Linked DNA regions of Kluyveromyces lactis. The protein of the gene in region 1 purifies or fractionates together with the protein of each later gene. This does not show direct contact. Links are inferred from orthologs where the notes say so. Each region holds a gene or a part of one and is shown in the gene's direction. Other genes may lie near its edges. The genes, in order: GID7, VID24 and VID28.

Region 1 (11,783 bases):
TTACCTAAGGTGGCCGTGTACTTGGAGGCAACAGTACGAAAACTCGAAAAAAGCACCAAAATGACAGAGTGGTATTATGGGAAGGATATGTACATGCGGGTAACGAGTACTCTGAATTTCATAGATTATCGTTGATCTTTTGACATTACGTATGCACATTTACCGATCGCTGCACCATAGAAGTTACTAGATGAGAGCGGTTGTTATACTTGATGGTATATACAATTGAAGTATACTTTATACTTTAATATATCGATATAGCAGAGCCCTTAAGGATCTTACTGCTTCTGTTACTCTTTTTTTTCTTCTGTATATTGATTCAGTCTGAAGCCGTATTACTAGCAGTAGAAGAAGCTGGAGGTGGAGGAGGAGGGGTTGCCTTTGATGAGGATCTTGGTGATTGATCTTTTCCCTCTTGGAAGTAGTCAGCCATTGATGCTGAAGCAGCCGCAGCATTGGTAGTGTTCGAACCGCGGTGAAGCTGTGCTTGTCTTCTTCCAACCGGAACTGGTACCTGAAGTGGGTTTGAAGGCATCGTTTCTTTATTATCCGCATTATTAGCCAACGTCGCAGGAATTAAAGTTGGTTGTGTAATTGGGTGGATGATGTTGTTTGAATTGTGAGATTCAACGGCTGCTGGAGAGTGGATAATTGATTGTGAATTTTGGATAGGTGCCGGGATTCTGTGCAAGAAACCGTAGCCAACGTTGCATCCAAGCCTTCCGTCAGCAGCAAGGTGTACCGTCACAGGTCTTACGCAATCCACGGCTTTGTTGTATACGTATAGTACTAAAGAATGGTTCGCTCTTGATCTGACAATGTCTTGTAACAGATGCTCACCGCCAGTTGCTAGCAATCCATCTTGGCATGCGATAATGTAATCCTGATCTGGAATCAATCCTGCTTGCATAGCGGGTCCGTTTTCAATGTTTAGTTGTAAAACATGGTAACTATACGTAACAGCGATTAATGGGGTCCATTGCACTTTGAAACCTAACGCTTCAAACATCTTAGAAGTCATTAGGGATTGTTGCGCATCTGTTTCATCCAACGGGATCTCGCTCACAGAGTTTTTCGCCGAGACGTAAAGATACTCCTCTCTGTAAACACCCCCTTTACCAGACCATACATGTAACTTGATAGTGTTGCCACAATGCTCATTGAAGAATGATATAATCCTTTTATAATCTGGGTAGAACGTCTGTGATGCACCCATGGTACCATCCTGTACCAAGGGGATCGGTTGGTTATTGAAACCAATGATATAATCAAAGAACGAAGTTAATTGCAATTGCGACTCGTCAACTTGTACCACTCTTAAACCATATAGAGAATCCGTTTGATGAGCATATCTAGGGTCATCTTCCCTTATCGGGAACAATTGTGGTGGTACTGAATGAAAATATGAATCAATAGGTTTGTCCCCAACCGTTCCAGTAACAGACTCTTCAAGAGTTCTGACAAGATTTTTCGCTATTCTGAACATAATTATATTGCAATGACAAATATAACAGTTTCAAATCGGATAGCCGGTGTGCCAAGGTACTGTTGTAGGATCACCCCAGACTGGACTAGATTAGATCAGACGAGTATTTTCTACATTCAACCTTTGGCTAAAGATTTCAAAGAAAGAAAACATGCAATAGGAAAACGGAAACCATTTTGGAGTTTTCAGAAGCATTTCACGTGACCTACAAACAAAACGCTAATGGTTCATTTCATACCGGTGGAAATAGCAGCCAAACATCAACGTAACGCTCTGACAATGGACTATCGGGCATGCTAGACGATCGAGATAGTCTTTAAGTAGAAACGACAATCTCTACCTTCAGGAGCCTTACAATTTTCTCACCTTCTTCCCATCCATTCAACGCGAAAGGAAACTTAAAAGTACAATTGCAAATGTGCTACATAGTATTATCTCTACATTGTTTCGACTGACGTATTCAAAGCTGAAATAGTAGTACTTTGAATTCTTTTTATCAGTTTCAGGACTCTACATTCCCACCCCACCTAATTAACAACCTGCCTTTCAGCATTGATACACGTGAATTCCCGGTGATTGCCCAATCGGTAGGCAAGCCGCGAAACGGCTTTTAAGGACACTGGTGCGTATCTATCCACAACAACGAGTACAGGTTCGTATATACATGTATAAACTGGTCTAGCCCAGAGCACTCACTGGTTCGTATATACCATGATCTTCTGAGCCAATACACACATTCGGCCCATAAGGTCAACCAAAACGTGACCCCGCATTTTCTTATGCGTCAATAACGTTGTTTGTTCGAGTAGCCAAGAGTAACGGTAACGGCGACCGTGACTAACAGGTGACAATTTTCAAATATTCTAAAAACCGTGAAAAAAACAGTTTCAACTGGAGATGGTGCGCAGTTTCTTCTACTTTATAATATAAGAGAGTGACTGTAGTTGAGAAAGGATAATTCATACTTTTTACTTTGTAGAAAAGATCAAGGATTCTTGTTAAAGAGTAGACAAGACACGACAAGACAAGCTAAAAGAATAACAACTAGAGCATAATGTCAGATCCTAAGTTAACCAAGGCGGTTGATTCTATATGCGATCAGTTCATTGTTACTAAATCGAAGATATCTCAGTTGACTGAGTATTTCATCGATTGTATGGAAAAGGGATTAGAACCCTGTGAATCAGATATCAGTCAAAACAAAGGGTTGCCTATGATTCCGACGTTTGTGACTGACAAGCCATCCGGTCAGGAACATGGAGTAACCATGTTGGCAGCTGATTTAGGTGGTACTAATTTCAGAGTTTGCTCTGTGGAACTATTAGGTAATCATGAATTCAAGATTGAACAAGAGAAGTCAAAGATTCCAACTTTCTTCTTCCAGGACGATCATCATGTTACCAGTAAGGATTTGTTCCAACATATGGCCCTGATCACGCATCAGTTTTTGACTAAACATCATAAGGATGTAATTCAAGATTACAAATGGAAAATGGGTTTCACTTTTTCATATCCAGTCGATCAAACCTCCTTGAGCAGTGGTAAGTTGATTAGATGGACCAAGGGTTTCAAGATCGGTGATACTGTTGGGCAAGACGTTGTTCAACTGTTCCAACAAGAATTGAACGATATTGGGTTATCAAATGTTCATGTGGTTGCATTGACTAATGACACTACTGGAACCCTATTGGCTCGTTGTTACGCTTCCAGTGATGCGGCAAGAGCCATCAACGAACCAGTAATTGGCTGTATCTTTGGTACTGGTACGAACGGCTGCTACATGGAAAAGCTTGAAAATATTCACAAATTGGATCCAGCTAGCAGAGAAGAACTTCTGTCTCAGGGGAAGACCCATATGTGCATCAATACCGAATGGGGCTCTTTTGATAATGAACTAAATCATTTGCCTACTACAAGTTATGATATTAAGATTGATCAGCAGTTCTCCACCAATCCCGGGTTCCACTTGTTTGAAAAAAGGGTCAGTGGTCTTTATTTGGGTGAAATACTTCGTAACATACTACTAGACCTTGAAAAACAAGAGTTATTCGACTTGAAGGAATCTGTTTTAAAGAACAATCCCTTTATTTTAACCACAGAAACTTTATCACATATCGAAATTGATACCGTTGAGAACGACTTACAGGACACAAGGGATGCTCTTTTAAAGGCTGCTGACTTGGAGACCACCTTCGAAGAACGTGTCTTGATCCAAAAATTGGTAAGAGCTATTTCCAGGAGAGCTGCATTCTTAGCCGCAGTGCCAATTGCTGCAATTTTGATCAAAACCAACGCTTTGAACCAGAGTTATCACTGCCAAGTAGAGGTTGGTTGTGACGGTAGTGTCGTTGAGCACTATCCAGGATTCAGATCTATGATGAGACATGCATTAGCACTTTCTCCAATTGGCCCCGAGGGTGAACGTGATGTCCATCTACGTATCTCCAAGGATGGTTCCGGTGTTGGCGCTGCTTTGTGTGCTTTGCATGCAAATTATTAATTTTAATGACATTTTTTAAACATTTTGATTTGGTTTTAATTCCGCATATAATGCAGTTACGTCTATGAATGACTTTAAAGGATGAAAAACAATAACAATACATTCGCTACAGAGCACCAAACGCACATTTACTTTTATGTAGTTACAGTAGCCAGAAATCTGTTTAATGTATTCAACTCACTCTCTTATAACTTTGTTATGTAAGCTTACTTTATCTATTGGTATCGTACCTTTTTTTTTCCTTTGATTTACAACTGCCCTTCTTCGAGAAATCCCTTAAAAGACAATTTCATAAAATTTAAACCAACCCTCACTGGTTACTTCACGAAAGAATAGTTGAAGATAAAAGAGTTGCTACAATCATTTACAGAACTCATTGACCAAGCAAAGCTTACAGAACAGGTTCTTTAATCACAAATCACTCATAGGTTGGTCGAAATTAAAAATTATGGCTGTTCAAACCGCAGGATCAGACGTTTCACAGAGCAATGCTTCTGTCAGCACTGTCCCTACTAGCCATGACTCGTTCATTCCTAAATATACCAAAAAGCCTTTGTCACATCTAGACATTGACGGATCAGATCAACCTTTCGATCGAGTGCAGTTAACAAAGTTGTTGATTGATGCTTTAAAACAAATCGGATATGAAGAAACTGCAATTACCTTACAAAAGGAGAGCGGTGGGATATTGGTCGAATCAACTCATGTGAAGTCATTGTTTTCTGCTATAAAAGAGGGTAGGTTTTACCACTGTACGTTGGATCTATTGCTTCAGCTACCCATATTTCTCGAGTCCCTTGAACTATCAGGTGACTTATCACATGTCGAATTACCCCAAACAAAACGCAACATTTCAACCACAATAATTGACCACTTTCTCGCTGAATATGAGAAACTAGGTTTCGTGATGAAACGTCTGTCCGAATTCAAGGACGTTGATATAGTTAAGTTAACTATATGCGTGGAAATGCTAGTTGCAATTCAAACTTTGGCTTTCTCTGAGATTTTGATGTCAGATAGACGAATGGCCTTGGAATTATTAAGGCTTGTCATTAGACCTACGATCTCGATTTGGGATACGTTGCTAACACTGCAAACAATGAAATATGACTCAGAAATACAGTGGCAAACAGGAAATGATGTCATGTATTCCAACTCTTTTTCCTCTTTCCAACCTGAACACTTATTATCGCAGCTTTCTACCTTGATTGTATGTGGTCAAAACTCCAATGCTGCACCTTTCGTTACCAGAGAGGCCACATTTGAACACATCGCTCACTTTATTAATCCTAATGATTTAGTTCCTCGTGGTAGATTAATGCAACTATTGAAACAAGCAATTCAATACCAACGTTCAAGAGATTTGTTAAGCTTTCATATTGAGGATTCATCAACTGGTACTAAAAGAAGTGCTTCAAGTACCTATAATTTGTTACAGGATAATGTTACAAAATCAACTCAGTTTCAATTTGATAACATCAAAACATTGAATCGCAACAATGACGAAATCTGGTTCTTACAATTCTCGTCAGATGGGAGATTTTTGGCCAGTGCAAGCCCCTCAAAGAAATTCGAAAGGAAAATCATCATCTATGATGTAAAAAATAACTTCGAAATATATGCTATATGTTGTGAAACTCGTCAGTCTGTTTTATATCTTAAATTTTCCCCTGACAACACGAAATTGATCGCATGTTCAATCAACTCCGCTGCAAAAATATATGACCTAAACCAGCTATCCCCCCCTACATATGATGGCTATTTATGCGAATATGATCAGCTTAAACCTGTAGCATCCGTATTTGTTACATTCCCCACGACTTCAGATTCATCTGCCATTTCATCTAATAATACACCAGCATCAGCTGAAACTATGAGGTTATGGTGTGGAGATTGGTTCCATGATCCCGAATTGAAAGACTTCATCGTATTAGGTTCTCCGGATTCTGATGTAATAATTTATGACATGAAAACGGCTACCATTTTCGCTAGAATTTCGATGACTATGGGAGAAGATTTAAAGTCGTCCTTCCCTCATGTTCATGATATCAAGATTTCATCTGATGATAATGACTTGATTGTGATGAATAATGAGAAGTACATTGATGTGTTTGACATATCAACGTTGAAATACTGCATTAAAGAGAATGCAACGTTCGTTTCTCCCAGAAAGAGACGATTATTGATCGGTAAAAGAATGACTGGAATGCAGTTCCCAGACACTTCTCAATGTTCTCCAGATCCATCACTATCATCATTATTACTAGTCTCGATTCAAAACCAAGAGCTACAACTTTGGGACTATCAAAGAGATATTTTAATACAAAGGTACATCGGTCAAATCCAATCAAATTTCATAATACGTTCATGTTTCGGTTATTATTCAAATTTTATTGCAAGTGGTTCCGAGGATGGAAAGATTTATTTGTGGGATAGGTTCTATGGTAATATCATTGGTGTAATACCTGCCCATTCGGAAAATTCGACAAGTTCACAATCAAAGATATGTAACATTGTTGCATGGAATCCTCAAGATCAAACAATGTTTGCATCCGGCGGTGATGATGGTCTAGTTAAAGTATGGAGGGTATCTGCTACATAGTAGACAATTGTCTAGCTTCTCTTTTTCCTCTTTCCACGTCCAAACCGTGGAAGACTGGTAGTGAAACCACCAAAAAAAGGAATAACAAGTAAAATGCATACCTAATATTATGAGTTTTATCTGTAATTAAGCCGATCAACAGTGGTCCTAGTATTGAGGAGCCTTTATCAGTTACACTAAAAAGACTGAAAAATGTAGATTCTTTCCCACGTGGTACAAGCAAACTGAATAACGAACGCGACACAGCAGCTAAGCCTCCCAAGGACACACCATACCACACTCCCAAGATATACATCTCAAATTTGTGTTTCAAACCAATGTTTTGGAATACAAATCCCGTCATCCCATACAATGGAATAACACTAGACCAAATGATTATAATGATCAAAACCTGCTGCAAGGGAAGTCTCAAACGTTCGCTTAATAAATGGGGTATGTAGACAGCACCAAGCATTGCCATAACCATCGTTATGATACTTAGAGTAATTAGATTTATAGCTGTCATCTTCAACTCCGTTTTGGCAAACAAAATGGCAGTAGAGTTAATTGTCGTCAAAGAATCAGATATAATAAACCACCCAATGAGAAAGATTACCACGTCTTTCAACAATCTTGCGTGCTTCAATGACTCCCACAATGAGTTCCAGCCGTATTCCATATAATTTCCGGTGTTGGCCCATGTAAACTCATGCTGTTCTTGATCTGTGTCACGGGGGATATCCTGTAACAAAAATGCTATCGGTATTTGCCACAGTAACCACCATAAGCCTACAAATAGAATCGCTATTTGAAGATTGTCGTGGTTTTTGCTTTGTTTTACCAACAATATTGAAAATAATTGTACGATAAGCGCACTGAAATATCCATAAGAAGCACCACGACCGCTTATAATAGAAGTTTTGATATCAACTTCCAGCTGATCTTCATTTCCAACCAAAAATCCCACAAACACTGGTAACAATGAGTTTCCTACAACATTAATGACTCCGTAGCTACAATTTCCGACTATTGCAAGCAAAGGTAATACGTAGTACTGGTCTGATCTAAGTGTACCAATAAACCATGTCGCTAAAGCCCCAACTGTTCCAAAAAATAATAGGACTCTCTTCTTAAATGCTATGCTCTGACATTTGTCGACAATACCACTGACGCTGATTACTAGTAACGTCTGAAATAGAACACTTAGGGAAAAGGTATATAATGCAAAGCTAGATGTATCAATGAACCATCTTCCATTAAACATAGGTAGTACGCACTTATCATCATTCACTTCGCATCTGAGACTATGATCATCCAATTTAACACCGTTAATCCTACCAAACTGTTCTAACAATAATGGGACATACGTGGAAACAGCGCTGACTATGAAGGGTTCACTTGAGAAGCAATAGAAATACCATCCCTTGATATTACGTTTGGCTTGATCAGGTATAAAAGCCGAATTCTCGGCAGGAACTGCCTCATAACTCATCACGACGCAAGTGTGGTGTTTGTTTTCGAGCGCGCTGTGGTTAGTGTTTTGGTGTGGTAATGCTCGACTGTCTAAACTAAACTGTTTCCCTTGAAACGTCCTCGAAATTAAAGGTTTTTTTTAAGTGAAGAGAAAGAAAGCATTTCACATAACGACTATTTTTACGCAAAGCAAATATTAAAAAAAAAAGTGGAAGTTGTTTGATTAACTGTGTGTGTATATATATATGTTATTATGTGGATGAGAGCTTGATTGTTAAATATAATATGCAGTGAACGGGTAGAAAATAAAAAGAGTATATTTGACAAGGGAACACTATTGTACAGAGACTTCTTGGTTTTGATTTTCTTGATTTTCTGAAGATTCTTGTTGATCTTGATCTTGGTTTTGCTCGTGTTTTTCAGTAGATGAGTTTGGTTTGAAGGATGGTAATGAATCTATTATTGGGTTGATTGGTTCAATTTTAAATAGCTCTAATTCATCGCTGACGAATTCAACGGTGTCGTAAGATTTTGGTTCAGAAATGGATTCGTCAGCAGTCCAAACTTTAGAACTTAATGCATACTGGAACAAAGGATTCCCAACGACATTTTCGAAAGGTTCAGTCAATTTAGCAATGTTGACATTGGAGTTTTCAGAGTTTTTCAATTCTCGTAATGCAGCTAGAATCAATCCGACATCGCCGTAAGATAAGTTTAGCATACGATGGAATCTTGAGATCAATGCCAATGGAACGTAACCTTGAGCATTCATTTGCGATTTTAAGAACATATCTTTGCTCAAGTTCTGTATGCTGAAATAATATTGGATTTGACGGACAATCTCATTAACCAAGACGTACGATGGGGTATAATTCTGTTGGTACATTACAGGAGCGTACGAACGTTGACGTTGATACTTTGAACCATGGTAATGATTCTCATTATTATGGTTATTTTTGTTATGCTGGTGGTGGTACCCATGACCATGGTTGTTGTGGTGATTTGCGTTTCTTGGGTAAAATGGCTTAGAGTTAGGAGTAAAGCGGCGTTGCTGGCTTTCAACTTTCTTACCATCAGTTTCAGCAGATGGTGGAGCAGATATACCGTTTTCGGAAGAAGCTTCAGAGTTTGAACTGGATGCCGTTTCTGGTCTCTTGTCCGCTTGGTTAGACTCTTCAGTATATCCGTTTTTAGTGATATCAGAAGAACCCGAGGCAGAAGCAGGAGTAGTTCCATTGACAGAAATCTTTTCGTTGGTGCCATTCGAGCTCGATGTCTTGTTTGTCTGGCGATCCTGCTTCTTTGTTGCTTTCTTTTCGCCTTCAGAGTCCTTTTTGGGCTTCGCGGTAGAGTCTTTACCCTTGGTCTTTTTGGCAACCTTTGGCTTATCCTTCTTGGTCTTATTTTTCAGTTTTTTACCCTTACCGCCATTAGCATTACTGACATCAGGAATTTTGTCTTTAACAGTGATATCCACATCTAATGGAACCCATCTTTCCTTACCGGTCAAAGACGGAGTACCTTTACTACGAGACTTGCTAGAACTGGAGACTTTCTTATTTTTAGCCGCAACAACCTTTGACAAATCTAAAGGCTTATATTCAGTGACACCGGTCTCTTCCCAAGGAGACTTTTTTGGCAAAGGTGCCAACACTAACTTCGGCTTTTCTCCTTCAGAATCAACACTGGAAGATTCTACATCATCATTAGCAGTGGCAACAGTAGTGTCGTTACTACTGGCAGTAGCAACCTCAACTGAAACAGCTTCAGTTTCATGCGGAGTATCAGTAACAGGAACAGTGGTAGTTGTAACAGTTTCGGACATATTGTTTCTCTAACGTTTTCTCTCGTTCCTTCTATATTCTCTTTCAAACAACAATCTGATGATGACTAAAACACTCTTAAGCCAAATTTCAATGCAGTTATATTTGCTTTCTTTACGTGTCGGATCAAAACTTAGAACTAACACTTACTAAGACAACTCCAAAAAAAATGAGTGCAGGAAATAACTTAATGTAAAAGCTTTTTATCAATGCCTTTGGTTCTGTCAAAAAAAAATAGTACACCGCTTACACAGAATTATACTTGCCTTGGCTTGTTCACAATATAGTGGTGGAAATATAGTATTAGTCTTCCAAGAGGTTACTGGTTATATAATTTGTTCATATCTCATCGCATATCTTTTGTCAATGATTTTTCAAAACTGAAAAAAAAAAACGAGAAGCGAAGAGCATCAGTGAGCAAAGTTAGCTTCAAGAAAGAAAAAAGTGCGTGGTGCGGTGTAAGGGTTTATCGATTTTCTACCCTGATAATATGTTAGAGTTTACTTCACTCATACAACCAAAGGAAAACGTTACTGAGATGTGAGCATCAGCGGAGGCAATTGAGGCTCGTTGTTGTAAGAGAGAACACTATTTGACATACTAGGTACTGTTTAGATGATTGCTGCTGTACTAAGTTGAAATTTTGAAGTCAAATGAAAAAAACATGGGAATTTAATCACAACAGGTGTTTCTTTAGGCAATTAAGATTTTAAGGTGCGCGACAATTCTGCTCAGCTCAAGACGATAAATCACACAAAGAATACATTGATAAATTGAGCAGTATCAGATTCACATCGAGGAATTAAGCGGTATTATTTACTTACTATTTCGTTGTGTTAATCCAAAGATCTATATTCGTCGAACGAAAGAACCACGGAGAGAATATAGGTGTTTTAAGTGTGTGCAGGTCATGTCAGACATTGATTTGGATTCTTATTATGAGGCACTAGGCGTCAAGACTCCAGAAGAAATATTGAAAGATTGGGAAAGGACCTCTCCGCCAAGAAAATTCGGAGACAATTCAGAAGAGATCCAGTATAATGGGTACGTCAGAAACCAACTAGCTGAGAAATTGGTGGCATTGTACCTTAAAGACCTCGGAAGCATTCTCAAGAAAACATACATCGCACAGAAGAAGTCCCATGTAGCTTTAGTTCAACGTTTTGAGGAAGAGGTCTTCAATACATGTCCTTTCCATTCAGATGTAACCCCTTCTGATGCTTTACTCTGTGATCGGATTCGGGATGCGGCCAAGCCAAAATTGCAATGTTATCCTGGTAGATCAGAATGGAAAAAGTGGAAGAATGCAATTGAATGCATCAACTTAAAGAAGACTATCCTATTTTGTGTGGATTTAGAGGCTTACGAACGAGATACAAATATCGTAACAGAAATCGGTATTACAATTTACGATCCTCGAGAAAATTTTGACCATTCTGTTTTACCGTTAACACGAAGCTTTCACTTCTGTGTCGAAGAGGCATATGACCTTAGGAATGGAAGGTTTGTTGACGATGCTAAGGACAATTTCATATTTGATGATTCTCAGATATTACCCTTAGATGAGGTCGTAGAACTTGTCCAAAACCTCATTGATAAATACTTGATTCCACACAACAGAGCGGAACACTCTTGGAAAAGAGCATTGGTTGGGCATGGTATATCAGGGGATATTAGCTGGCTAGAATCGTTGGACATAAGATTACCGAATAATGTTCAAACCTTGGATACCCAAAAATTATTCGAGAATATGTACGGAAGACAATCATCACTCAAGAGGCTACTGAATTTATGCAGAATACCACACTCCTACCTTCATAACGCGGGGAATGATTCCTACTACACTCTACAGTTACTTTTGTCAATGTGCGATATAGGAACAAGAATCAAGTTGGATTTGGACAATTGGCATCATGTAAG
Region 2 (10,487 bases), on another chromosome or scaffold:
ATTTGAATATAAGTCATTAGCCCATCAATATGGGGGGAGTGGGGTCATGCACTGCATTATAATAAATAGGATGTTGAAAAAAGCAAGAACATCATGTTTCCTGGTCTAAACCGAAACTGCTACCGCATCCACAACTACTGGTCATACTTCCTCCAGTAATCTTGAAAGTGGAACCGATTAATTCGGTACTATATGTGAGAGTGGTATCGTTCAAAATCTTTAGGGACTGCTCATCAATAACAACTTCGCCGATGGAATCAGGTAATACATAAACGATATCCTTAACAGTCTCAAAATCATCTTCGTCATTCAGGTCATCGGTTTCTTGTTCCTGGTTACCGATTTTCTTGTCAGATTCCGGTACCAGCTTCAAATTGTACTGAAATCCGTGACATCCACCAGATTCAACCGTCACCCTAAGAATCTCTTTTGAAGCCTTGTATATCTCAGCCAGTCTCTTGGAAGCTCTGTTGGTGATGCTAAAATGCAGATCCGGTACTTCATTAATAATCTTTGCTGGTCTGATCGGAGTATCCAATATCGATGATGGTGATGATGATTGCCAGCGTACTCCCAAGGCAGCTCTAACGGGGACCTGGTTCAGTATCCGGGGTGCAAGCGTCAAAGGAGTCCTAGAATATGGTAATAGTCGTACTGGCCACATGTTGTTTGGCTCACTATTCCTCTCTTGTATGTCTTTACGATATTCATTGTATGTACTTGTGAAGTTGAATCATCGTTTCGCTTATTAAAGAATTTCATTCAAGATAATAAGAGGAATATTGCCTATGAGCCGGGAATATCATTAAAAACAGTATATAATGCTTGGCGAGGGTGTGAAGCGAACTGTATATAGAATCAACCATTATATGTCATGTGCTATGCGAACACGCTGCACACGGTACAACTAGCATCCCTTTCATGCCTGTAAGAGAACATGGTTGCACCAGCTTCTCCATTATACATCGTGAAAGTTGGACATGTCTCAATATCGATTTTATCAGTGAGTAAGTCGATAGCTTGTTTGCAACATTGACCAGCAATGATTGAGTTTGTAGTAGTAACGCTGGGTATAATAGATTTTAGTACGCCCAGAACGTATCTTGTTGTTAGAGTTGAATGGTGTATGTTGAATTCCTCCGCTCTATGTAATGATTTTTCGTACAACCACTGTAGATCATCGGGAGACTCCAAGTCATGAGGTCTGTTAGGAAATTCTCGAGGCCAGAGAATGATGGAAGCGTATTGAATGCAGTGTGCTAGGGTTCTTGGGTTGGATGCAAGTGTACAGAGCGGATAAGTTTCTGTATTTTGCGGCAGCGTGGAAAGAGAACATTCGTAACATGAGGTGAACCCAGGCACTATGAGCTTACAGTTACCCATAAGTCCCTCCGTGGCACCGTCTATGAAAGGTATTACGGTCTTGAAGTTGGATTTGACAGTTACATCGTGTAATTTGAAGTTGATCCAACGTCTTGCCTCGATAGAATCGAGTCCGGATACGATTATATCGAATTGTGAGATGAAGTCATCGTTGAACTGAGTCAAATCTTGATTGTGAGGCACCACATGCACAAAACCTGTAACTCCATTCTTGCAAGGTATTTGCAATCTATTGATAGCTTCTGCAGCTACAGACGCTTTTGGTTTGCCAATATCACGGGTACTGAATAGAAATTGACGGTTCAAATTGGTCAATTCGATGGTATCCATATCGACAATATGTAATTCTGGCAAACCGTACAGCGCCAATGTCTTGACAATCTCACATCCAAGACCACCGGCACCAAGGATCAATATTTTTACATCACTGACATCCATTTTGCTTGGAGGATATTGATCTGGTCGGCTCGATCAGTAACAGTTAAGGGTTGGGTCTGATCTTTATAGAATAATATTCACGTTTCTTTCAAATAAAGTGCGAAGTCTATGTGTACAATTTAACACTTAAACACGAAAGAAACTGAACAAAAGCTACGATAAAACATCCTATTGAGGTATCTTAATAGTTGTATACATACACGCATGTACATTTATATACATATATACGTGTTTATTTATAAGAGAATGGTGAGAGATGGATGAAGAAAACACATGATTGGAAAACGCAACGATGCGCGTCCCGATTATTCAGCTTTGACACCACCGTTACCAGCCTTTTCAGCAGTTTCGATAGATTTCTTGTCAGTCTTTGGTTCACTGGCACCACCGGCACCACCGAACAAAGATGGAGTCTTGAAAGGTCTCTTCAAATCACCAGAAGCTGGTTTTCCGAACAAATGAATTTGAACTTCGTTATGTTCCAAAGCGGACTTGATTGGTGAGATGGTTTGCATGAACAATGGGTTGGTGTATTTCATGTACAAATGCATGAAACCCATCATAGCCAAACCAGTGTAGATGGATTTAATGGCAGAATCAATCTGTTGTAAATCGTAATCACGAACGGTAGTGACTTCCAATTTTTTCTCGGTTTGACCACCCAATGGGTTAGCTGGAGCCACGTATTTCAAAGTGGCCAAATCGTTCTTCTTAACGATTTGAGCTCTAGCGTATTGGTAGATGGACCAAGTGATGGCAACAGAAGCGACATAAGCGATACGGATGTACAACACGATCGAAGGATCCTCCATATCCAAACGACGAGATACTTGCATCATGATCAACATGATGACTAGGTTACTGATTTGAGCATTCATGGTGGTGGTTAGAGAGTTACAGCTGGGATTGGCTTGGTAAGAAAGAGCACTTCTCTTCTAACTATGAATTGCTTATCGACGGCAGATTCCAGTGGACAAAGGACAACTAACTAACTAATTATTAGAAAAGGCATACATAAATCAGTAAGTATATAAAGTTGAAAAAGAGTAGTTCCGATAATACGTGCAACAAGTAGTAGTGCATCATTTAATAGATACGTATGTGAAAAGATGGTATACAGATTTTATTTTAAATTCCAGTCTGAATGTGGAAGAAGTGACGAGAAAATCTTTTGACGATGAGAGAGATACCCATTGTGTTACCCGGAATAACGTTGAACGGTGGCGAAAATACAAATATAGCAAATATACATATATCCGGGTAACATAAGCGGGCGCGTTATAACAGTAATCACGTGACTAGAAGAGCCACACTTTTTTGACAGCATACACCGAGCGTAGAGAAAGAAAGAGTTAGCTGCGCTAAGTTGTTACCCGCACCTCGGAACAAACCGGATCGGGCTATGTCTGTGAATGTTCCTTTCCCCTGTAGCAACATTCTCTCGTATTTCTTTTTGTGAACTTTGGTCCTTCTTTGATTCTTCCTCCGCCATTTCGTTGGGTACCTCTCTGTTCCAACTTGGTGCCGGAAAAAAAGAAAATCCAAAACGAAAGGTTTTTCCGGGTATTTTGCCCAGAAACCGGTGCACAGTCTCTTCGATATTTCCCCCCGTTTCTTTTCCTTCAACACCAGACTCGCACCTCGATCATAATTCACTCCTGAACACATTTACTCTCTTTTTACTTTTTTCCATTATGTGTCACTCCTTTCACCTATGCAGCCATTTTACTTCTGTCTCTGCCTTGTTCATTGGTTTTTCCCAGTCCAGTTGATAGGATAGAGTCATGGTTGGAACTGGAAATCTTCCTCTTCCGCGTGTTTCATTGTCGGTTTCTTTGCCGTGTTTTATTTCTTTTCCTTTTATCTCTTTTTCTTATTTCTTTATCGATGTCGATCTGGTCTTCGCTTTTTAAAGGTGGCCTGGTGATGCTTTTTATATTACCTTCTTGATTGAGATAGTTATTATTATTATTATTACTATATATATGTATATATACCGAGTGGTTATTGTTGGACGTATTAATCTGTTCGCTGCTTCATCGCAGATTGCCTTTGTCAAGTGAGTTAGTTACTTGCTTTAGAAAACTAGTTACAACTTACAAGTTGTAAGGCAAGATACATTCATACATTTTACAGATGATCAACGAAGATACACGTTCGCATAGCTCTGGGTTGGAGACGCAACTCGCCAAGGCGAGTAGCTCGTCTCCATATAAGGGTCAGGGTCAGACCCAGGAACAACAGCAACAGCAACAGCAACAGCAAAAACAGCAATCACCTATAGCATTCCCTGCGCCTTTGACTCCTTTTTTCCATAGAAACCCATATTTCAGGAACACTTCGCTGCACAGAACTGGGTCTCACGATTCTATCAATTCGATACGGCGTTCGCATGAAAACTTTCAAGATTCGGAGGATTACGATATCCAGGACTCATGCTCACCATCTTTGAACTCGCCTCCTAGATCGAGACCTCAGACTCCCAAGAACCACGAAAGAACTCATTGGCTAGGGGCTAGAAAACGGTTTGTTGGGTACCAACTCTCGGGATACAAGAAGTTCCAAGTCATGATCACTATCCAATCTGTTTCTTTACCAAATGATAACGAATCCAACTGTTGCTCGCCTCATTTGACTGGATTCCTCTCTATAAAGGGTCTCACGGTACAAAATCCCGAGATCACCACTTTCTTCGAATCCATCACCGTAACGGATTCTCTAGGGTTTCTATCCAAAGATATCCCAATAGATTATGCGTCCTATAAGGCCTCGGACCAGACTGATTTGGAGCATTGGTTGAATTTCCCATCTTTCAAAGAACTTTGCATGCAAAACGATCCAAAGTATCCTTCTAAGAATATTCTACAATCTATCATCGATGGTACTTACTCACATACCGATTACTTGAATCAAAGGTTCCTTTACATGAGGTGGAATGAGAAATTCCTGGTGCCTGATGCCGATTTGGAATCAATAGATGGTGCATCTTACGACGGCTACTACTACATAGTACACGATCAATTACTTGGTAACATTCTGGGGTTCTACTACCATGAACATGCTGAAAGATTTCAACAGTTAGAATTGCAACCTTTACAAGAACCATCAATCGGAGATTGTTCATTCGAATTTGCATAATTAAATGACATTAAAATAAATAAAACCACATCTTTCATGGGGTGTTTTATTTTCATTCTTTTTTTCTGTCTCTTCTAATTTACCAAGTTCCTTGCTCCACTCATTTACTTCAAATTTCAGTTCAAGTTTACTTCTACACCACATTACATTAATTCAGTTAATATTCTAATACCAATTTACGCTTTCACTTTTCATTTCTACCTAATCACGTCTCTAATGTCATATAAATAATGGGATATACATCGTTACAATTTACTGCTCGATTTGTTTCTCCTAGAAACCGAACGTCATGAAAAAAAAAAAAGAGGCCCTCGATGAGGATGAAGAAGGGGCAAAAAAATAACAGCTCGCACTCAGGATCGAACTAAGGACCAACAGATTTGCAATCTGCTGCGCTACCACTGCGCCATACGAGCTGGTTTCTTGCACAAATGTTTTACTTTCAGTTCATATCGGGATTTGTGAACCATTGCAAAGAACCATGTCACGTGCTGCTTACTCATCACAGTCTTTATTCACCTTAAACTTGGCCTCCAAACATTCTGAATATCTAACGATTCTTCTTTGATGCCAAAGTAATTCAAGGTTACCCACTCCATTCACTGAATTCATAGTTTTGTACTGTCTTCTCAACTCGTCTTTCAGTTTTTTGCCCTCTATCCTCTTAGTCACTCGGCTTAAACATTTCGGAAACTTTATAATTCGATATTTCACTTCTAACCAACATATAAAGAAATACTGAAATACTGAACTGCGATACTCCTTCCAACGTTTGATTGATATTTTTTCAAGCCCAGTAAACTAGCCTCACAGTTAAAATCGCTTCGCTCAGGTTTTCCAATACCAACAATGTTCTCAAGATTTTTGGCCACTAAGAGTCCGCTCCTACGTCCTGCTTTCAGATCACATCTAAGTTTCCAAAGATTCATATCACAAGAGACAAAGAAAGCTATTGAAGATGCTATTGAATCAGCACCGGTGGTTTTATTCATGAAGGGCACTCCAGAATTCCCACAATGTGGATTCTCTAGAGCTACAATCAATATGTTAGGTCAACAAGGTGTCGATCCAGTGAAGTTTGCTGCTTACAATGTACTTGAAGACCCTGAGTTACGTGAAGGTATCAAGGAAATCTCCGAATGGCCAACCATCCCACAACTATACGTTAACAAGGAATTTGTCGGTGGATGTGACATTGTGATGAACATGGCTCAAACGGGTGAATTAGCTAAACTGTTGGAAGAGTCCGATGCTTTGGTCCCAGAAGAAGAAGATTAAGTACATTTCACTCGGCGCAACTCTGGCTGCAAAAAACTATGTATGTCTATAACAAGCTGCAATATTTATAATTGATTTTATGAGGAAATATGATCTTATGCCTTTAGACTTGTGAATAATGGACACTGTATTCACAAACTCCGCTCTTTTGAAGTTAAGATCTTAAAATTTGGTGGCAGTTGTAAATTTCTGTCACCAAATTCGTGCAAGTTTGTTCTTCGTCTTGTGTGAAAGTGAATTCACATTGAAAAATCGTAAACGTTTTCAAAGAAAATGTCTAATGCATGTAACGCCCTCAGTCGGAAGTACTTAAACAATCCAGTCGAACACATTACTGCACCGCCAGTGATGGACATAAAGAAAAATGCACATCAGGCACGACAAGTTCCCGTTTACGTGAAATCACTCAAATAAAGAAAGACGATGGTTCGGTAGAACCTAGAGAAAAAGTATCGTTCATAGAAGTCTCGCTGCTGAGCTGGGTCCTTTTTTATGATCTTTTTACTGATCACATGAACAGTCTAACTTCGAGCTTCTCAGCCTTGAAAAACTGAGCAAGACTGCCTTCGTAGTAGCATCCCATCTCATAACGTACACTTCCTCTGGCTATATACTAAAACACAATGAGAAAAATGCTCTGTTTACCAACTCTGATAGACCATTACCATAATGACAAAACGGAATAATGATCCATTGAGACTTATGTGGTAATTTTATACTTTTGATCTATGTTCATTATCGTAACTTCAAGGAGATAGTGTATAGATAACTCACCAGAAGCCAGTATGATAGTCAGAGATGAACATCAGTTGTTATCTTGGGCCATAAGACCAAATTGATACCAATTTTACCAGACTTCAATACTTCAAATGATTAAAGTAAATGTGAAAGAAGTATTGTTAACTTTGAATTTTTTTACCTATTTTAATAATTTTTCCATTCTTTTCTACTAGTATTATTTCAGTGTCAGTGGAAATGACAGAAACATATGACAGAAACTGAAATAAAATAGAACGCTCTATAGTTGGTTGCTGATCCTATGTCATGGCGATATCATTGGCATACCTGCTTTCTTAGAATATGATAACATTTTTTTTATATTTGTTTGGATATATTCAGCTACACTGGTACGTGACATATTGACAAGTTCGTAAAATCATGGAATCATTAACATAATATCTAACGAATCATCTCGTATCTTCCACCGACAGTTTTGAAAGATTGTAAAAATTTGTCAATCTTTGCTAGTTCCTCGTCAGATAATTCTATGAAACTATAATTAGAGGTTACCTTGTCCACAGTTGTTCCTGAGGGAATAGGAATAATTTTAGTATTTGGATAGTTCTTACTGATAGCCCGGATCCATCCGATTGCTACTTGTGGTAAAGTGACGTTATCAGATCTTTTAGCGATAATTTCGTTCTCTAAAAATTCGACTAAAGACTTGTTGTGAGCGAACGCGTCATCTTGGAATCTCTTCAATTGAATTCTGAAATCACCTGCTGGGATATCAGAGCTCTTGGCCAAAGCACCAGTTAGCAAACCTCTACCCAATGGAGAGTAGGCAACAATTGGCAACCCTAGTTCGTTACAAGTGTCGACAATACCGTTCGAGAGAATTTCAGCAGAAAACATGGACAATTCGACTTCAACACAGACTAAATATTCACCATACTCCTTGTGAATGGCTCTGATTTGTTCAGCGGTTACTTCACTCAATGAAATACCACCAATTTTACCCTTCTTGACGTATTCAACGATGGTGTCAAATGTTTCACGAGGGAAAACCGATTCACCAGTCTTCTTTATAAGTTCAAGGTCCAATCTTGCTGGCTCATAGATGTCCACATACCCATTGAACACTTTAAGAGTGTTTTCGATAGATGCGCTAACACTCTTAGCATCACCGGCTGGGCTCAAGGTTTGCAAGTCAACAGCACCTTTAGCACTGATAATTACCTTTTCACGATCTTCCGGATACTTGTCAAAGTAGGATTGCAACAACTTGTAGTTGCTCAAAGGTTCACCGTAGAATTCACCAACATTGAACAACGCCTTTTTATCACCAGTAAATTCAAGAACTTTCTTGAAGGTTTTGGACGCAGCTTCTGGGGCAATAGGTTCTGCTCTCCAGGTGAAACTCATCAAACCATATCCTAGGGCTACGTTATTAAGCAATTGAGAACGGTAGTCGCTTGGAGATGGCATGCTTTTCTATTATTCGATGTACTAAAAACTTTGGTGGATAATCAATTGACTGCAATGCTACACTGAACACTAACTATTGATATTCCTTACTGTTTAAACCTTTAATTGAAAGAAATAGGAAGCTTTTAATTAAGATGAGATGAAATTTAGGGGAATGGAGATGAAATATGTAAAATGCCGCATTTATATACGTTGGAGCGTACCATTAACACACATATAAAAAACATTATTCATATAAGAAATATCACCCACTTAATCAATATCAGTTGCCAACTTGTGGGTCTTGCTGAGAAGGTTTAGTACAATGCCTGAAAAGAGCATTACTAATTTGCATTGACGTTCAAAAAAAACCATGGCAATCTAAGTAGTAGCGAAAATCAACATTAGGCTTGATAAAGCTTGTAATGTAGAGGGTGCCTCCAACTGGAGAATTACTCCGGCTGATATACAGCATATACCAGAGTGATTTAATGCACCTCTACTATATTGACTTATTCAAATGGATTACGTAAATCTCAGAACTTCAACTCAAGAAGTATCAAAGCTCTAGACTTCAATGTGCGATAATAACGTCGCCTTTTCGTAAAAGTAGTATTTTTGCCATCCGTAACTACGTCGCGTCGACAGTCTTTTAACCTTCGCCTGCCTGACTTTTGCAGTCAATCCGAAACGATAAGGAACATAGCCCCATCGGCAAACCAATTGAACCATTTTCTTGGAAGTTCTACCCCGTTTGGAATACTATATGATTGGTAAGAGTCAGCAGCAATAGGTGCTCAGTTGAAGAAGGAACTGGACGACAAATTCGACACTGACTTCTGTAGAGAAGCTTCAAGTATGTACAACGGTATGGTGCCTCCTAGCTTTGGAACCTATCATGATCGGAGCACGGATATCCCGAAGCCTGCCGGGTCCTGGCCTCCCATGTCTAATGGTTCTTTATTCAAATCGATTGGTATGTATTTAATGGATCCAACAGTGAGTTCTAGGGACAAAGGTTCGATTCATCGATGGCTGCTTCGCTGCCGTTGAATTACTTGGCACAGATCTTCTTTAACTAACGGCTTTTCCTGTCGGACTTCCCATTAGGGCAAGGGCAGCGTAGAGAACGTTTCAAGAGGAGCAGAGATACCCATTGGTTGAGTGAACGGTCAAAGCAGCCTCTATTGAAAGGACATTGTAATTAAGCTAACAAATAAATAATAAATATTAAAAACATATATAGATAGCATGGATATCAAGTGGTGGCCGGTAGCACCTAGAGTTTACTTATCTCTTCTAAGGTAGGACCTAGTTGTTTGAACATCTTGTTGCCATTAGCTCTCCATCCGCAGACATCATGAAAATCACAGTACTTACAAAACGTCACTAGATTCTTCTTTGTTGGCACAATAGGTTCAACGGATCGTTTCCCAAACCAAAATTGGGAGCTGCTGTGGCACTCTTGCTTTAACAATGCCGAATCATATTGAAATTTATCAGTATAAAATTTGTAATCACCAGTGTAGTATTCTATCATTAGATCATTGGATAATAACGGTAATAATGTACCGTACAATTGAGCCAATCTAGCAGCGAAGTATCTTAAAGTTGGCGGATTCGCCCATTTTTGGTAAAACGTACCATATTTTTCAAGTGTACTCTCTTCCATTGTCAAATCTGCGTATTGAGAAAGATTATACTCATTGGCTTCGCCAATTTCCGAAGGCATAGCAATGTTATCCTCGTCGCCGTTTTCCAATTCCGATTGGTAATATCTATCAAAAGGTTCAAACCCAATTGGTTCTCCAAGCATTATCCTTTCAAGGTCAGGTCTTATGGCAGGGTCAATCTCCATGAAATAGATGAGATTTGATATGTTGATTGGTGTGTCAATGTTTATGTCCCTCCTTGTAGCATTCAGTATTAGTTTCTGGTATGCGATTTCGGGGTCTTTTCCCAAGTTTTCCAAAAAAAATCGGTAATACATGACCTGAAGCTTTGATGCTCGTACTACGGAAGCATGGTTGGGTACAATTGCTCTAGGACGTGTCTTAACGTCG
Region 3 (11,774 bases), on another chromosome or scaffold:
TTCTTCGACAATCTTACCAATCAGTTGACTCAAAGAAGATTTCGAATCGGCAATTTGCGCTTGTAGATGCACTTCAATCTGCTTTTCGATAACTTTACCTGTAACATCAACTTCGACATTAACCAGATCGCCCACCTGTTTCAACGGCATGATAACGTGTTCTTGAGTGTGCTTTATCATTGCGATGTAAAAAGTCCCATCGTCGTCAATTGTAGTAACAGTTAGGGAAGTACCATCCAACGAGATGAACCCTTTCTCAACGATAAACTTCTCATAAGATTGTTCCCCCAGTTTGAATCCAAACACTATGGAGTTACCATCAACGGTGCGTGATTTGATAGTGGCTACTGTATCGACATGGCCTTGAACGTAATGCCCACCAAAACGGACATCCTGAGACACAGCTCTTTCGAGGTTAACCTTGGTTCCAGTCTTCCAACTGCTGATATCGGTTCTACTAACAGTTTCTGGTGAAATACCAACTTTGAACGAATTAGAATCGAATTCAGTCACTGTTAAACATATACCATTGCATGCAATGGAATCTCCGATATGACAATCACTCAAAACTGGGGCCGCATCTTTAATGGTCACCGAAACACCATTACCACCACTAAGAGTTTCGTCCAACTCTTTGTACTCAGCAACAGTACCAATATGTTCTACAATACCAGTAAACATTCTTGCGGTTATACTCGGCTATGTTTTGGTAAGTCTCTTCCTTGCCAACATAGGTTTCCTCGAGATGTACTTTCTACTCAGACATGAGATTTCTCATTTAGTCATACAGCCTGAAAATGTGAAAGAAATGAGGTGAAGAGAAGGCAGAGCATGGAGGGAACAGGAAGGCAATGAGAGGACCAGGAGTGATGCCTTCAGAGGTGTTCAAGGGCACCCAGATAAAATGGTATAATGAAGCGTTTGTATTGTATTTTTAAAAGTGTTTTTCTACTGAACTACATATTGATTTTAAACGTCCATTGAGTGTCAGTGATTCATTCTTTATATAGTCAAATGCCGTTACCATGAAGCTAAACTGTGGGAATAAAGGTTCAGATAAGCAGAGTTTGATCCGTGATATTCATGCAAGAAGCTCTTAAGCCTTAACGTAGGCAAACGGTCGTTTGTGCTATTGCGTCAGTTTTTTTCACCATTATCCAGCACTGACCGGAGAAGGTCATAGGAGAGAATGGAAGAGTACTAACAATGCGCAAAGCAGATAGGATGGTCTTAAACTAGAAGAACCAGAGTTTTCAAGCATAATTAGATTGTCATGTATATTGATTAAGACTTCTCTTTTATTTCCTTTTTTCTTTGCCGGACATGTCTTAGAGGGTGATTTTTGACATTTCTTAGGTAAAGGCTTATCAAATACAGAGTCTGTACTTGAGTTGGTACTGCCAGACAGACTCCAGGGGGTAGAATTTGATTTTCTAGTTTGAGGCAGAGAGCCTGTTGCACTTACTGTTTGTATTCTTGACCCGCTCGTGGTTTTTACCTGGGCAATAGAGATCTCCAAGTTATCAAGGTCATATACTACATATGCGCTTTTCAAAACAAGATCCCCCAGGATCCACTCTTCGCCACTCGCAATTATTGCCAACCCACAATAATTCTGACCGGATTCAGGTAGATATAAGAGGTCATGTATTGGCACTTTCAGTTTCAATTCACCGAAATCGAAATAAAATGTGCGATCATCATTGGATGCTGGGCAATCTAACACATACAACCCGTCGCTTTCCGAGAATGCAGCGCCCAGTTCTTGGGCAATACTTTCTAGTGCCTCTTGAGGAGCTCCCATGATTGTACTACCAGAATCAAGTAGTGCTGGGGCCTTTTTATGCGCGATGACAGTATCTTTACAATTCGATTCACTTCTTATTCCAAGTCCTTGTAAAGTGATATCAAAAGCAGCGGGTTCATCAATCTGTTCATATATATTGACTAATGGCAAAGTATACAGCACACCATCGTATTTTTTCTCATCGATACCTCCGAAGAGCACTGTTCCACTTTCTAGGTCTCCACTATCGAAATACAACGAGTACAACACCCTATTGATCAATCTATTACTTTTCAGTGTCTGCGGAAAGTTATCGTAATTCGCATTGGGGGCTCCATCGTATCCACGAACTGCTTCCAGTCTAGGAAGTCCCACACCTAGTACACCTGATGGAGCACTTGATATATTAGCAACTGCAAATTGCAGATCTGGGACCTGCTGGTCGGCAATTGAAATATCATCGACGACCCAAAACCCATCTGAATAGCTGCCGTCAAAGTACTGAGTGGAGAAATTATACCCAGTTGCACTCAGACTGTAGGACGAACCTGGGTCGAAAACGCCAATCTTATCGCAATCCAGTATTGGTGTTATTTCTGTGCCATGGAATTCATTAGTACCATTTGTATCTAGCTTGTTTCCTAGACAGAATGGATTACTCTTAGCCGGTACCCATAAATCTGACGATCCAGTATCGAATATACAATTTATTTTCTGCGATGGTGTACCTACACCAAGTTCAACGGTATAAAAGTAGTCCTGTGGATTTAGTTTACTTTCAAAACTTTTAGATCTTTTCTGTAGACTTCTATCAGCTGGTTTAAGTAGTTGCAGCTGAATGACTTTTGAATCATGATCGAACTCTATTTGACGACAGTTTATTAAAGATGTCAGTAAACATAGAATTGTGAGAGAAGGTAAAATCATGGTGTATTTCGTTGATACCTACCAACTATGTAATATGAATTGGGAATAAGAAGATGACGATATCATTCAACTATCTGAGCCAATTAGTACTTTTATATATGTTTTACTTTATTAATGGCCGTCTTGAAGATGTCACTGTGTAATTGCCTATTTGAGAAATTAAGTCGTCATAACCAAACTGAAGATCTTTACGGTTAAACTTAAGTGTGAATATCTATCAAGTACTGCTCATAGTTCCAAGAACTATTTTGCGAATAACCTTCCACGGTTAGTTTCAATTTCTGTCATACAAATTACCTGATTTGGTTACCACAATAAGTATTACAACATACAACAGAAATGAAGAACGACTTGAGAACCCTGTACCTATCATCATCGTGGCATATGAGATGCTGCCTATTAAGAATGCAGGAACTGCAGGAACTGAAACTAGCTGTTAAGTATGTCCTCTATCCTCTTGTAGTGTTTTGTCGTTTGTGGAATGAACTCGGGTGACCTGGTCTATTGAGAGGTCTAGCCATTAGTACAATATATTGCTCGCTCCAATTCCCCTCAGTAAATTCCCGTAAATGTTTAGATTGAATTGAATCATTCATTAAGATTAGTATACACGGTTACTTAAACCACCGACACTATACGGGTTGCTTTGTTCGTTGTTTTTTGAGATCATTATTCTCTTGCTCTGGCTGTGTCTCAGTATTTGGCAAAACTCCACCAATCAATCTATTGTTTGCTATCAATCATTACAGCTTATCCAACTTCTTCAATTCTAATTGGATCTTTTTAATAGCAGCCTTTCTTTGCAAACGCACCTGTTCCTTCTTTTCACCTTCCAAGTTACCGAGATGAACACCATCTAAATCCAATAGAAGGTGTAAAAGCATTTCATTGTAGAAATTACGTTGGTACTGCATGGTTTCAGACGTAGAATCGTAATTTTCCAACAACTTATGCAAGCCTTCTTCGTATTCGTTGGTAAATTTATCGAGAACGTATTTGATGGTTTCTTCTTCAGACATGTTCTTCAACTTCTCCTTCTCAATCTCTTTTTGGCTCTTCTTAGCAGCATGTTTTCCCTTCTTAGACTTTCTAGACTTCTTCCCACGAGGTTTTTTGGTCGTACCACTAGAGATCCATAGCACTAATGCTGTCACTATCATTATACCGGACACTCTAACTGTCATTGATTGGTAGGCATCTTCCAGAGAATGTATTCTTCTCAAATCAACCAAGCACGCATGTGCGTATTCTTGTAATTTATCCATGGCCACTGGGAAACTATCTACCAATTGATGAGATACCACAGAGTCCTGTCTGACTTCGCAGCTTTGTCTTGTCAAGTTGCTTGATCTCGTGAAACTTTTCATCATATGTTGATAATATCAACAATATATATCTCTGCGTGAAACAGTGCTAGTTAGAAATCTCGAATGCAATAACACTGAGGTGTATCACCAGAAGGTTAAGGATACCAAATAGACATGTGAAACTGCTTACTGATAGTCATGGAACTTCAAACTGGACGTAGTGTACCCATTCCAGTATTTATGCATGTTCGTTTATCGTATCACGTGCAATAAACGTGACCGTAAGCAAATAACCTCCTATCTCTCCTCATAGTCGTAGCAAAATACGTAAATACACATATCAATCGCTTACCTAGTACCATCCGTCTATCCTAACACCCCCGACTAGTGAGATCGCACCATAAGTTGTATCCTTTCTGCCTTTATTTGTAGTTTTGCCCAAGAACGCTATTCCATCATATATCTACATTCACGGTTAAGGGATTTGACATAGTTCGAACCTGTGAAAGAGTGAATAAGGGTGTCTTCAAAAGACAACCGCGCGGTGGCCAGAGTGCAAAATAAGACAACAATGGTTACTCAGCAACGTCAGAGAGTCACGAAGCAGGTGCTTTTGGAGCTTCGCAAGGGCCTCATCGGTGACCAAAGTGCCAAATTCAACTTCTACAAAGATCACAGGGACTTGTTTGATGCTATCATAGACTACAAACACTATCTTTCCTTAAAATTGGATGTCTTATTGATTCTATCTCACTTAGACAAGGGCAGCTGCAGGGAGCTTGGAAAATATGGAACGGAGATCTTTGTTAGGGTATTAGAGATGCAGATTCCAAATGACTCCATGATTGAGGATATTGCTAAGTATGTCAAGCTAAGGAGAATCTGTGTAGAGAACTGCACGGAGGCGGAAACAAATGAGCAGTTCTTCTTCCAAGAATTCTATTATGTGGAACCTTTGAGTTTCTTTAAGCTTGCAGCTGAGCGTCTCATACGGACCGATGAATCTATATACAGAGAAATCGTATTGGAATATATGACATACTTATCCACATTGCCATTTGTAATGACAAGTCAGGACCTAGTGCTGATTTTGAGGGATGTGTTTAATTTCTATGTGGATAAATATGTGCCCAAAGTCAATTTCAAATACGCTATGGTTACTTCAGCCAAGGAGTCATATGACATGGACTATGATGTGTTCTACGATCCTAACAACACCGGTGCGCAGCTCATGAATAAGAGCAGGGGCTCAGCGGGAAGTGAACAAAAGATTCAACCATTTGAATCCCTACCGCAATGCTTGCATATTAGCGACCTTTTTGACGTTCAATTGATTTTTGTGATATCAAACTTGTTAACAGTATTGCAATCGAATGGTGGAAACCAGTTCTCTTTCTTGGCGGATATGAAGGTCAATGTGTTCTATGCTTCATTATTAAGACACCCTGATATAAGATTGAAAACGTCGGCTTTATCATTCTTCTATTGTCAACTTGGAGATTCTTGGTACTCGGAAAATAGAAGTGATTTCGGCTCAAATACGGATAGCAACTTGCCCTTCCCGATAAAACTATGGTTACCTACTCTCATATCGACTTTGAATGAACCTGAGCTACCAATATTTTTCTCCCCTTTAGAAATCCTTTGTTCTCTAGCAACAGAGTTCACTGTCGCACATAAACCGGAAAATGTTGTGATTGACACATTTTTCGATTCGAATCTATTGAATGGTATGATAGACACTTTTTTAAGACTATTGAGCCTGGAGAAACAAGACACCAACAAACTTCAACTGCTTTCTGATTATCTAAAGTTCTTTTCTGAAATTATAGGTAAGGATGAAAGGTGTAGGCTATTGTTTTTGGAGAACATCGCGGTTTTACAATATATGGAGAACGCATTCAGTTCACACTTGCTAATCTTGAACAATTTCCGTGAGGATTGGACACAATTGAGGAACATGGCACCCTTACCACCGCTTTTTGATTCTGAATTAGTTACTAATTGGGCAAAGTGCTTGAAGGCTTGCTCCAGAAGTGTGGGAGTTTTAAGGACATCGTTGAAGAGAAATAAGCTAGCAGATTATACTCTAAAATTAGCAAGAGAGATTTATGAAATCGTTTCAATGACGTATGATGGTGGAATTCCGCACCTCTTATGCCAAGAGCTAATATTACTAGGCGAATTGTTAGGAGCAATGTCAAACTTTGTTGTCGAATTTTCTTCTTTAAGAACGCTCATGAAAAAGAACGGAATCATTGCATTGATTAAACACATTTTTACCAACCCTATATTCAACTCTGAGTATTTAGATCGTGCCCTGATGCCAGAATTTGCAAAGGGGAATCCGATTATAGTATTCCATAACGAGGCAAGCGTCTATTCCGAAATTACGGTCATCCAGACGAACTCCCTTTGGGTCTTGAGGCATTTGATATACAATTCAGAGACATGCGACAAACTAGAATTGTTATCTCAGATTGACTTAGAATCAATCCTACAATTTGTGCATTCCGCTGAGCCCAGCGTACTAAATCAATGTTTCCAATTGTTGAGAAATTTGACATGTAATTCGAGGAAGGTGATCAACATGATATTAGATTCCTTCAAACATACAGATATGCTCGCGAACACAAATAACGGCAGTGGAGAAGTCAGTGGAAGAGATGAATCATGTACTCAGGGAAACCAGTTCCTAAGGTTTTTAGCTTTGAAATTGAAAACTGTATTGCATGATGACAGTTATTACAGTGACAATAAGATCGCTGAAGCACTACTCTATATAGTGGTCAATTTCACCGCTATAAATGAAAACAAGAGAAACCTGGTTATTTCCCAGGATGAACTACTAGATATCGTGAAAGAATATATCTTAATGGCCAAGGGAGATGAAATTACTAAAGCGTGTCTTTGGATAATCACGAATCTAATATGGGACTCCTCCATCCAGCACGTCCCTTACAATAATTCTCTACCAGAAAACGGAAACCCGCACTTCGACACGGACTGGGCCCTTCAAGAAGGTAGCAGCTCAGCTCTCGAAGACAGAAACGATGATCCTCTCGTTAGAATGCCATTAAATGCACGAGCATCAAACATGTCTTCAGAAGAAGAAGAAGTCCCAGAACAAGAAGAGCGAGAAGGTGATTTCGACGAAGAGGAGCAAAGTAATGACGAAGAAGAGGACTCAACTGATCCTCATAAAGATTTCATCCGCCCAGCAACTACCACTGGAAACATTTCGGCTTTAAGTCCAGCAATCATAAGGTTCAAAAAGCTCGATAAGCTAGGTTTCAATGACGCAGTAAAGAAAATCTTGGATTGGAACGGCGATTTAGACGTAAAGGAACGTGCTAAGACCCTACTATACCAAATGGAAACGTTCAGGAAGACCACTATTCCACCACATGCATGAGCCACTTCCGCCTGTTCAGGTGATTTGATGAAGCAAAATCACGTGACAATATCCCACAATTGTGGCTCTATGATTCAAATGACGAAAAAGAAATCGAACTAAGCGAAACTCTCGAAGCTTAGTGAGCGTGCACCTGAGAGAGCTTCACAGGACCGGGGCAAGTCTTCTATAGGAAAAAGCTTTTTCCAGCGATGTAACATTCAGTATTTACGTTAGAACTATATAAAGGTAGAAAGTGTTTTTGTGTGTTACTGCATCGATAAGTTTTTAATGGTAGGATAGTTTGTTCTAGCTAAAGGCAGCATCAATCACATTGACAACGCAAACGCAATGTCTTTATCATATGTGACCAATCCATTTGGTCTTCCAACTGAGAGCACTCAGTTGCCAACTTTCACAACACCAGTGAATGCAATTAACTCTGTGTTGTTCAGAAATCTGAAGAGTATTTTCAGTTACAAAACATTCTCAGACCCTGATTTATTGGATGCTTCTATCAAAAAGTTAGCTGAAAGAGAGAACGGTTTGTTCTTTAAGGAATTGGACGTAAGATCAGGTGCAGGCTTGACTACTTTGGGTTTTGCTAAGGGTTCTTCCGACCTTGCTGGTATTATCACTCCAGGTTATGCTTTGCCTTATTTCGTCAGCAGTTTCAAACAAGAAATCGACACCCAGTCGAAATTCGTCTTTAGCGTTGGTTCGTTGGATTATGATGAGGCTTCTGGTTCTATAATCAACGATTATTTGACTCCTTTGAAAGCTGCAAAGGATTTGGGGTTCCCTGTCATTACACCATTGCAAATCTCCGAAGTTAAAGCTACCACGTTATTGACCTTGGCATTGGCTAAATACGGTTCAGGTTTGGGTGCAGTTCAGTTATTTGATGGTGCCCAATATGCGAGAACTGTCACTAGAGTGGAAGATAAGATGCAAGATAGATTTATTGAATCGTTGAATTTAGCTGACGATTCTACTTTTGATCAGATCTTGGATGCTTTCAATGAGAACTCCCCGGAGAGACTGCACAACTTCCAATATTACGGTAATGAGTCTGCTGAAACTATTTTCATTACTTATGGTTCTTTGGAGACCGAACTTTTTGCTTCTCTATTGAATCAAAGTGGCTCTAAGGTCGGCGTACTTGCTGTTAGAATCCCATTGCCATTTGACACTGAGAAATTTGTTTCTTTGATTCCTACTACTGTTAAGAAAATTGTCGTAATTGGCCAATCTCTAACTGGCCAGTCTCCATCCTGGTTGAGATCTCAGGTTTCAGGTGCGTTATTCTTCCACAACAAGAGAACTTTAACCATTGCCGAGTACATCTATCAGCCAAACTTTGTTTGGTCCCCAAAGGCTGTTAAGCAAATTGTTACTAGTTTCATCCCAAGTTTCGAATTGGAGATATCAAGTAATTCCCAAAACTTCATTTACTGGACCACTGACAACAGTAATAATTTGGATTTGGCTGCTAGATTAGTACAAGGTCTATCATTGATCGATAATGTTGATATTTCCTTGAGAACGAAATTTGACAACATTGGGAATGCAGGTACCTTCCAAGCACAGTTCACTTCGCATCCATCAAAGTCGAAAAGTGTTGTTTCTAATATCGACTCTGCCGATGTGATTGTTGTCGAAGACATTTCCATTTTAAATGCTTATGACGTAGCTTCCACTGTGAAGCAAGAAGGTTCCATCATTGTATTGGTGAAGAGCTCTTTGGTTGATAAGGATTTAAAGGATAAGAAGTTCTACACTGATGAATTGAAAATTAACGAAGCATTTTTAACCACTGTTGCTGAAAAGAAGATCAATGTTACATTGATCGACGTTGAAACAATTGGTGACAGAGAGGAAACTAAAGGTCGTACTTTGTCCTTCGTCACTCAAGCTGTCTTCTGGAGTGCTGCAACTAACGATGACAAACAGAGCATCATTCGTCGTATCTGGAACTCAGCAGGTCCTGATATCGAATTACTTGCTGCTGTGTTGTCTGATACCATTAGTACTGCCCTTGAAACTGGCGTGAAGGCCATTCCAAATGAAGTTTACGCTACATTCATTGAAGATAAAGCTAAGGGTGAAGAAGTAAAAGAAGAAGAAATCCATCAGTTACCAACTTTTGTCACTGAAACCTCATTCTCTGCAAACCAGAGATTTACCGAAGAAGTACCAGAGACTGAAATTGCTAAGATCGCTGAAATTTCAAAGAAGTTGACTTTCCAAGAAGCTTACGGAGTGTCACAACAATTGAGGCCTGATTTGCCCGTTAACAATTATGTCGTTAAAGTTAAGGAGAACAGACGTGTCACTCCAGATGACTATGATAGATACATTTTCCATATTGAGTTTGACATTTCTGGGACAGGAATGACTTACGATATTGGTGAAGCATTGGGTGTTCATGCAAAAAACAACTTGGAGAATGTGCAAAAATTCTTGCAGTACTATGGTTTGAATGAAAGTGACATTGTTCAGGTACCAAATAAGGATGACCATCACTACTTAGAGTCAAGAACCGTTTTGCAAGCCTTCGTCGAAAATCTTGATATTTTCGGTAAACCACCAAAGCGCTTCTACGAGAGTTTGATCGATTTTTGTACTGACGACAAAGAGAAGAGTAAGCTAGAAAACTTAGTTTCTGCTGCCGGTGCTACTGAATTAAAACGCTTACAAGATGTCGAGTACTATACTTATGCCGATATCTTCGAGTTATTCCCATCAGCCAGACCATCGGTTGAAGATCTTGTGAAAATAATTGCCCCATTGAAGAGAAGAGAATACTCTATCGCATCTTCTCAAAGAATCCACCCTAACGAAGTCCATTTATTGATTGTCGTTGTGGACTGGATTGATAATAAGGGAAGAAAGAGATATGGTCAAGCTTCAAAATTCATTTCTGATTTAGCTATCGGTTCTGAACTTGTTGTATCTGTGAAACCAAGTGTTATGAAGTTGCCACCATCTCCAAAGCAACCAGTTATTATGAGTGGTTTAGGTACTGGTTTAGCACCTTTCAAGGCTATCGTAGAAGAAAAATTGTGGCAAAGACAACAAGGTTATGAAATCGGTGAAGTCTATTTGTATTTGGGTTCTAGACACAAGAGAGAAGAATATTTATACGGTGAATTATGGGAAGCTTATAAGGATGCTGGAATTATCACTCACATCGGTGCCGCTTTCTCCAGAGATCAACCTGAAAAGATTTACATCCAAGATCGTATCAAAGAAAACTTGCCAGAGTTGAAGACTGCAATGATTGACAATGAAGGTTCCTTCTACTTATGTGGTCCAACGTGGCCTGTTCCTGATATCACTCAAGCTCTACAAGATATTATTGCTGCAGATGCGAAGGAGAAGGGCATCAACGTTGACTTGGATGCTGCCATTGAAGACTTAAAGGAAACTTCTAGATATATCCTAGAAGTTTACTGATTTTTTTATGTGTTTCGTTGAATACTGTTTATTATTTATCAATCTATTTATTTTGGTATATGAGAATCATTACATAACACTAACTACTGATGTACCATCTTGGAACCTAGTTCTAAACACCCGGTTAGCGTTAGTGAACATACCTTCTTTCAACGATACAACGATAAATTGGGAGCCTTTAAACCTGGTTTTAATAAGATGACCAATGTTCTGAGTATGACTTAAATCTAATGCGGCATCCACTTCATCCAATATATACATTGGTGCAGGTTTGAACTGCAACAATGCAAGGATCAATGATAACGCAATTAGGGAACGCTGTCCACCAGAGAGTTCTACCAGACTCTCTTTCCAAATTTTACCTAATTTAACTTTAACTTCTAATCCCTCGGTTACATCTTTACCTTCTGAAGGTTCCAATTTGGCGAATGAATTCGGGAGAAGATCGCCAAAAATATTTCCGAAATCTACACTGACTTTCTCCCATGTTTTTATTAAAGTTTCTCGTTTGTATTCGTTAAGCTTTTCGATAGTTTCCTGAATTTTCTGCTTATCTTTTTCAATGGTTTTAATCATTGTTTTCAATGCCGTTTCCTTTTTCTCTACACTCTCAATCATACTCATTACCTCTGGGTTCACCTTCCTTCTTAAGCTCTGAAAGCTTTCGGCTAAATCGGAACCACGTTTCTTGTACTGATCTAGATTAATGTTCTTATTCTGTGTCAAGATGCTATTGACCATGGAAGTATCTTCCAACCAATCATTTTCGTTGATTAAATTTTCAATGGCTTGATCGATGCCAAAAGTGTTATTCTTGTATTTATGCAAGTCGTTTGTAATCTTCTGTAAATCCACTTCCGAAGTTGAAAGTAGATGGTTCTTATTTTTAAGCAATAACTCT

The links.
Region 2: the proteins of GID7 (region 1) and VID24 purify together in Saccharomyces cerevisiae (affinity purification with mass spectrometry; 3 studies listed by BioGRID, with this or other methods). This does not show direct contact. The link is inferred for Kluyveromyces lactis from reciprocal best matches to the Saccharomyces cerevisiae genes GID7 and VID24.
Region 3: the proteins of GID7 (region 1) and VID28 purify together in Saccharomyces cerevisiae (affinity purification with mass spectrometry; 3 studies listed by BioGRID). This does not show direct contact. The link is inferred for Kluyveromyces lactis from reciprocal best matches to the Saccharomyces cerevisiae genes GID7 and VID28.

The regions. Positions count from the first base shown.
Region 1 is NC_006039.1:85,544-97,326, forward strand, and holds GID7 (glucose-induced degradation complex subunit GID7), read left to right. Parts: upstream 1-4,434; coding exon 4,435-6,588; downstream 6,589-11,783. Other genes in the region: GRH1 (Grh1p), read right to left, coding at 320-1,486; KLLA0_C01155g (uncharacterized protein), read left to right, coding at 2,541-3,986; ATG22 (Atg22p), read right to left, coding at 6,581-8,059; SRO9 (Sro9p), read right to left, coding at 8,375-9,865; KLLA0_C01232g (uncharacterized protein), read left to right, coding at 10,774-11,783.
Region 2 is NC_006038.1:830,457-840,943, forward strand, and holds VID24 (glucose-induced degradation complex subunit VID24), read left to right. Parts: upstream 1-3,957; coding exon 3,958-4,959; downstream 4,960-10,487. Other genes in the region: ISA2 (Isa2p), read right to left, coding at 92-664; NEDD8-activating protein UBA3, read right to left, coding at 880-1,821; SND3 (Snd3p), read right to left, coding at 2,127-2,699; monothiol glutaredoxin GRX5, read left to right, coding at 5,809-6,237; KLLA0_B09658g (pyridoxine 4-dehydrogenase), read right to left, coding at 7,417-8,445; EXO5 (Exo5p), read right to left, coding at 9,704-10,487. UniProt on the Saccharomyces cerevisiae protein: Substrate-recognition component of the GID E3 ligase complex recruiting N termini and catalyzing ubiquitination of proteins targeted for degradation.
Region 3 is NC_006040.1:1,335,550-1,347,323, forward strand, and holds VID28 (glucose-induced degradation complex subunit VID28), read left to right. Parts: upstream 1-4,591; coding exon 4,592-7,435; downstream 7,436-11,774. Other genes in the region: RIB5 (riboflavin synthase), read right to left, coding at 1-681; aspartyl protease BAR1, read right to left, coding at 1,178-2,713; SNL1 (Snl1p), read right to left, coding at 3,457-4,083; MET10 (sulfite reductase subunit alpha), read left to right, coding at 7,766-10,873; condensin subunit SMC2, read right to left, coding at 10,943-11,774. UniProt on the Saccharomyces cerevisiae protein: Component of the GID E3 ligase complex recruiting N termini and catalyzing ubiquitination of proteins targeted for degradation.